2 linked regions of the Xenopus tropicalis genome follow. The protein of the gene in region 2 interacts with the protein of the main gene of each other region in a pairwise test. Links are inferred from orthologs where the notes say so. Each region holds a gene or a part of one and is shown on either strand. Other genes may lie near its edges.

Evidence for each region.
Region 1: the proteins of ube2u (region 2) and rnf144b interact in a two-hybrid assay, tested with the Homo sapiens proteins (2 studies listed by BioGRID and IntAct). The link is inferred for Xenopus tropicalis from reciprocal best matches to the Homo sapiens genes UBE2U and RNF144B.

What each region holds. Positions count from the first base shown.
Region 1 is NC_030682.2:93,574,501-93,578,329, forward strand, and holds part of rnf144b (E3 ubiquitin-protein ligase RNF144B), read left to right. Parts: intron 1-3,457; coding exon of another isoform or gene 3,458-3,494; coding exon 3,495-3,659; intron 3,660-3,829.
Region 2 is NC_030680.2:84,733,674-84,737,373, forward strand, and holds the end of ube2u (ubiquitin-conjugating enzyme E2 U), read right to left. Parts: intron 1,143-3,700; coding exon 958-1,142; 3' UTR 733-957; downstream 1-732. UniProt on the Homo sapiens protein: Catalyzes the covalent attachment of ubiquitin to other proteins.

The sequences.
Region 1 (3,829 bases), on a different chromosome or scaffold from region 2:
TGAAGCCTGTCTATGCTTGTGTGAATGCAGGGCTGTGATTGGCTCTCCCCCTCCTACTGTGCTTCTGGCAGGGACTGTTAGGACACGCCCACTCTTCATTTCACACTGGACGGAGAAATGATAGGATCTATAGGGAGCTCCAATAAAGGGGCCATTGTTACAGATAGGGTTAATGTTTAGCCCAAAGGGAAACCAGCACCGTATATTATTCATAATTGCCTACAAAATTAGCATTTTTCCCATTTATCCAATATGTCTCCTTTAATAAATCTCCCCCATAGTATTCTGAAGTAGTTTTAGATATGCTTATATTACACAACAGCTGTTTATATTGTTAGAACGTCTTGTATTTTATATCTTTATATTTGTTGTACTGGATATACTAGTGCTGAATAATTTGGAGCAGAGAATTATGATTTCTATATAGCAGGAAAGTTAATTATTAGGATTTGGTAAACTGATTGTGCAAATTGTTTCCCAAGTAGTAGCTCACATATTTGAACAAATATTGTATTTCTCTTAAAATGTCTGTTACCTCATAGTCCTATGACTTGCCAAGTGCTTTCACGGAAGGGCTGTTAGTCATTTTTATTATTATTGTGTCATTTTAAATATGCTATGCAGTTCAGTATCTGTTAAGTTACAAGAGCATACATTATGGATAAATAAGGCAATATCTATGCAGGTATTGGTACTTGCATTCTTGTGCTCTTTGCACCTCTGTTAGAGCTTATAGCTATAGCTGTTCTGCAAATAACAGCACTCCCCCAACAGTTCTTGTTGAAAGTTGTGGTTTAGCTGAGCCAGTGTAGTTTAGGTTGGAGCAATTTTGGGGTGGTATTCTAATACAATGTACTGGGAATTCATTAAAGGAACACTAAGGGGCTTAGGCCCCTATATGTGGACTAAGGTCCTTATATGATCTTTGTTTTCAACAACAGCCTCATGCTGTAAAAAAAAAAAAGATGTCCAATGTCCAATCCTCATTCTCTGCCTTTGACTTGATATGTATGCAGAATGCTGTAATGGCATATATGAGCTTGTCACCTTAGCTGTATCTGATTCTGTATTGTCCTTGCGAAATGGCATTATACATTCTTTCTGATTATTATCTGGCCAAATATTGTTTACTAAGGCACAAACGCTTCGAATGCGTCCAAATGTGTTTTTTTTTTCATAATGATCGGTATTTTAGCGATTATTTTGTCGCCGGCGCGACTTTTTCATCGCCGGCGCGAAAAAATCGTATGGTAGTGCCAAGTACGAAAGTTTCGGATTCATTCAAGCTTCAGTATCGTGACTTTCCTTGGGCCAGGTTGGAGCTGCAGAGTGCCATTTATTCCTCTGTGAGGCTTCCAAAATCATGCAAAGTCGGAAAGGTTTTTCTGCCGTTTACGATCGTTCAATACGATAAAGTCACAACGGCGACGAAATAGTAGCGCAAAATCCGATAAATTCGCTATAGCGACGAAAAAGTCGCGAAATTTTCTTTTCCAATCCGAATTTTTGCTATTCGGGATTCGAATTCGGGCTTTGGTAAATCTGCCCCTAGGTGTTAGAAAAACACTGTGTGCCACAATACTGACTTGACTTTCTACTATCATAATATTGCATTTCAATTTTGGATTTTTTTTAATCATTTCCAAAACATCAGCATTTATTTCATGATTACTGTTTGTTTGTTTTTTCAAGATATGCCAACATCTGGTGCAGCAGCTGCCTTTTTTTAATAAGTTATTAAGTTATTTTGCTTAATGCTTTTAAAGAACCAGTATACCCCCTTGTTCAGCATGAGCTTAGTTAATAGAGTTTATGTTGAACATACTTTAAGGTGGCACAAAACGAAGTTTCGAACGATAATAGCTGTGTGTATGGTGGGAGACAAGGCAACCGATTTTAGTAAGAGCCTTGGATATTGCTTGTCTTGTCGATCGAGCAGAACGAAAAATTTTGATCAGTTGCCTTTGAAGGCGACTGAACATTGGCAAACGTTAATGCTGAATCATCAAGTAGGGGTAAGAATTTCTTTGTTTTCACCTGCATATCTGACAATTCAGATCTTAATATTAGAGTGGACAAACAATCTTTCCTGCAACCAGTGGTTGCGGAAAAGATCATAATTGTAACGTGTACGGCCACCTTTAGATTATGGTCTTAATCTCAAAGACTTGTGTTTTTCTTGTTATTTCTTTACATTTAACAGAGAGATTGAAGCTACTTTATGTTTGGTCACTGCTAGGTAGATCATTAGATTGCCACTATAGAACCCTGTCCATTCACCCCTTGTTATGACCATTCTCTAAGCAGGGGGATGATTTGTGTACTGGTAATCTAATTATCAGTCTTGCAAGGATGAATTTTAGATGTGCCTTTGAAATCATATATAAACAAAGAAAGAAAAGAGAGCTGTTATTCTTAAGGTCATCATGACCTTAACAATGGTCCCTGTGAGCTGCTTTAATACAATTAAATATCCTTCCGATAGTAAGATGTACCCAGAACAGTGCCAGGCCAAGAGGTACTTATGCCCAAGACTCTCGTGTCCCAGCTCCCACACGCACACACCATCTCTAATTCTTGGATTCTTACTAAAGATTGTACAAAAAACTAGTGACTTTGTCATACTTCACTGTAAAGCTTTGTTTTTTTAAATGTACTAAATAGTATTGCCTTGTTGCTGCATGTCCTAGGAGTAGATCTGATATTGTAAAACCTGTTTGCCTGTGTGTAGTTTGCATGCCTTTCTTGTAAATAACATCTGTGTGCTTTGACACAACTTGTCTTGAGTCAGTAGTCTGTAGTAAAGTACACTCAGGCATTGAGTACACTCAGGTATAACACCGCTGCTATGATTATGTTTCACCAATAATACAAGAGCATATAAATGTGTATAGTCCAAGCAAGGGTAGCATTTCACTGAAAAGGGGTTGATGCCTGGGTGCTACTGCAAGAAAAAATTCTTAAAATACAAATGCAATATAAGCCAGCACTCACAGGACTTTTAGAAATGACATTCAGGCAAAATAAAGGTTTTTCCTGAAGAAAATTCCTGTCTGGAACTGAAACGTTGGATAAATAAAAACCATGTAAAATATTTTTCATAAACCTTTATTTTGCCTGAATGTCATTTCTAAAAGTCCTGTGAGTGCTGGCTTATATTGCATATATATATATATGTATATATATATATATATATATATATATAATATAATATAATATGTGTATTAATGCAGAAAGAGTTTTTGTCACGGGCGACTAGTCTCCCCGTGTGCCTCAGTCCTAATGTGTATAGATTCCAATCTGGACAGGCTGTAACATGTAGCACATCACACAATATCTGATGTGGTGGTTACAGATGAAGTTGGTCTATGTATAGCTGTGGGTTTTCTGGGTTTTCTTTCTTTTTTTTAGGTTTTGCAGTGTTCTCCTTTATTTGATATATTTTGTTTTCTTTCAGATCTGAGGATTTAGAATGCAGCTTATCTAAAACAAATATGGCCTCTGCTGGTAAAGTCTGCCATCATACCATGTTGGCAGGTAATTCAAGCCCTGGAGAATTGTCCCTGGAGCCTTTAATACTGTGCAAACTGTGTCTTTGTGAACATCCATTTGATAAGATGACCTCCTTACAGGCATGCAGTTGTATTTTTTGCACATCGGTGAGTTGTTTTTTTTTCATTATTTTGATTAAAAACATTGTTTTTCATTTATACTGCCTTGCCCAACCTGCACAGAAAGTCCTTTAGCACACCCTCCAGTGTCCATACAGCAGGAAAGTAGATAGTGCCCAGAAGCTTCAAGTGCACTCCCTTTTACACTCAGCATTAGC
Region 2 (3,700 bases):
TTCCAATACATAATGTGCAATATTTCTACCCCACTTCTTTGTTATTTCTCCTTTAAGTGATGTTGCCCAGCTCTGGATTAAAGGAATGGGAAAACATGTTTTCTTTTTCAAGATGCATCAGTTAATTGAGCTTCTCCAGCAGAATCCTGCATTGAAATCCATTTTTCAAAAACACACACACAAAAAATGTATACTTAATTTTGAAATTTTACATGAGGCTAGCCATATTCTTCATTGTCCAGGGTGCCAAAGCCATGTGACTTGTGCTCTGATAACCTTCAATCACACTTTACTGCTGTGCTGCAAGTTGGAGTTATATCGCCCCCTCCCAGCAGCCGATCAGCAGAACAATGGAAGGGTAGCAAGATAGCAGCTCCCAGTAGATATCAAAATAGCACTCAATAGTAAGAAATGCAAGTCTGGCTTGGGACTCCTCCAGTTACATGGGAGGAGAAACAATAGGTTACCTGAAAGCAGTTCTAACGTGTAGCGCTGGCTCCTTCTGACAGCTCAGACTCAGGCACAATGCACTGAGATGGCTGCCTATACACCAATATTACAGCTAAAAAATACATTTGTTGGTTTTAAAATAAAATTTTAAATGGTAGAGTGAATTATTTGCTATGTAAACAGTGTAATTTAGAAATAAAAAGTACGCCATAAAAATCATGACAGTATCCCTTTAAAGATTTAAGCACTTACAGCAGGGATCCCCAACCTTTCATACCCATGAGCCACATTTAAATGGAAGAAGTGTTGAGGAGCAACATGTTGCTCACAAGCCACTGGTTGGGGAACACTGACACACAGTTACCCTAACAGGGAGACAATCCTCTCATGGGTTTTATGTTTTAAAGGCACTGAAGGTTGCATATCGGCTGCTGTAGAAATGAAAAAAACTGCCTAATTTACTGTGCATTGCAGCTCCTGTCAGTGTATTTTAGTGTAATATGTTGTTTAATCCTCTAATAAATCAATACAAAGGCTATCAGTCCAGGCGACCAGCTTGTCCACTTCTGTTTCCCAGGGCTCTCTGTCTGACACAACTCCATGGTGTGAGCTTAAAGTCTTTACATAACTCTCTCCTTTGGACAACTGCTCTTTCTCCTTCATATGGGTTGCTGTGGTCAAATGCCGTGCACCTGAATTAGCAGAAAATAAAAGTCACACATGATATTAACATAGAAGTAATAGGTGTACAAAGTATATTCTTCCTTTTTCATTCAACCAAGGATTTTTCATGCCCACAAGCCCAGGTTCATCCATTCCCCTACCATTGCCCCTGCCTTAGGACACCCACAGGCATGCACACTCTACCTGCCATCATTTAAGATGGGCAACTGAAATCATAAGCACAACTGGAACAGGACCCAAAAAATGAGAATCAATCTCTGCCTAGATACAGAAAACATTCTGTCCCTGGCCATTACATGCTGTGTGTCTCTGCAGTAATGGTCTTCTGACTTTTTCTGAATTCAAACACTAGGGGGCACATTCATTAAAGTACGAATCTGAATCACGAAATCCGATAATTTCTGATGATCGCAAAAGTCACGAAAATTATGTTTGTTTGAATACGAAGATTTTGTACTTACGATCTGAAATTTTAGTATTGAAACAATCATTTGCAAATGGCGATCCGATAGTCACGAAATTTTGGTATCCGAACAATCGTAAACGGCGGGAAAACCTTTCTGAATTTCAGTATTCAGTTCATGATTTTGGAAGCCTCCCATAGGACTCACTGGCACTCTGCAGCTCCAACCTGGCCCAAGGAAAGTCACGATACCGAAGCTTGAATGAATCCGAAACTTTCATACTCATTGCGACAAATTGTGGTGCAAATTGTTGCAAAGTACGAAAAAGTTGCGCAAATTAACGAAAATATCACAGAAAATAAGTAAAAGTCGTAAACTTTAGAAAAAATACACATTTTTTGTAATCAGACCAGTCGTACTATAATGAATGTGCCCCTGGGTTGTCTCTGCACCGAAGGAAAATAAGCAGTTTATATTACACATGACATAGTATACATGAAGTCAACCAAAACTCTGCATATTATATACAGGTATGCATAGCTCCCAAATGTCTCGATTTTCGCTGGACAGTCCCTCTTTTAACAGCTCAACCCGCAGTCCTGGATTCTTACTAAAATGTCCCTCATTTCTCCTGCACTGAACACTAAAAAAGATACAAATATTTCTTAACCTTAGGCTGATGCCACACGCGGCGTAGGGCTGATTTTTTCGTCAAGCGGAAAAACGCTTGCCGAAAAATCAGCCCTACGCCTGCTACTTGTGCCTGCACCCGAATGAATGGGATACGCTCGGGTGCAGGCACATGTAGCCGATAGACTTTGCATTCTCTCGCGTTTTCATGCGTATATCGGCTACATGTGCCTGCACCCGAACGTATCCCATTCATTCGGGTGCAGGCACAAGTAGGAGGCGTAGGGCTGAATTTTCGCCAAGCGTTTATCCGCTTGCCGAAAATTTCAGCCCTACACCTCGTGTGGCATTAGCCTTATTTAAAAAGTAGCTTTTGGCAGAGAGCCCAGAAATCTTAACAAGCTTCACCTGCACTTAGAAACATTGTTCCTCAGACTTAATTAAATAAGTGGGCTTTTGGCAGAGAGCCCAGAAAGTTAACAAGCCACACCTGCTGGATAAGGGATCCCATATCTGTATATCAATAAACTTTTCCGGTTATACATGACATTATTTAATGCTCTGGACATTATATATAGTACCAGGAACTCAAATGTAAAAATTCATCATCTAAAAGCTTCTATAGAAGTCAATGGGAGTTGTTCTAGGCAAATTCAAACCATATTTTCAATTCAAGATATTTAAGTTTTTTCGAGTGTATAAACTTGAAAATTCAAGGTATTCAAGTTTTTTTTTTCCTGATGAATTTTCCTTGTTAATAAATAAGCAAGCATTCAATATGCAAGTTTATTTGATTCAGAAAAACAAACTTGAATTCACAAACTCAAAAACTGATAAATAAGCCCATACATGTCATACTTCATAATTTACTTATTGTCACTTTTACACTAGATACTGTATTTTCATTTCAGGCAGCATGGTAGCACACGCCATAAAGCTGGCCATACACAGGTCGATATAAGCTGCAACTCCGAAGACCTAGACCACAGCTTATTGGACCATATAAGGGGCCTCCCAACAGACTGCTAATTGGCAGATTGAAAAATCCAGTTTGCGGAGGACCACTTTGGTGCATTGATGCAGACCTTGTCTGACAGGTTTGCGTAGGCCCCTTGGCTCAGGGGCCAAACTTTCTGATAAGCACAATTTTGCCCATTTACTAATTTTGCACCTCACTAAATATGTATGGGCAGCTTTAATGTAGTAATATTTAGCCAGCTACCACACAGTTAAATGCTTTGTCTGGCTCTCTCACTGGCAATTATCTAACACCATCACTCATCAGGCTTCACATTATTTTAGGAGTTTCTGTTAGTCTGTCCTAACCTATCCCTATAAAGTATACCACCACATGGATAATAAGCTCCTTGCCTGTTCATTATAGCTTATATTTCATTTTCTGCTTCAGTGAAGCAGAAACAAGGAATTGAAGTTCCTGGCAAGTCTGGGCTATGTAAGGGGATCACTGAGCTCTTTGGAAACCTGTTGCTTAGCTCTGAGACCTTCCACCTGGTCCTTCTATCAATGAATAA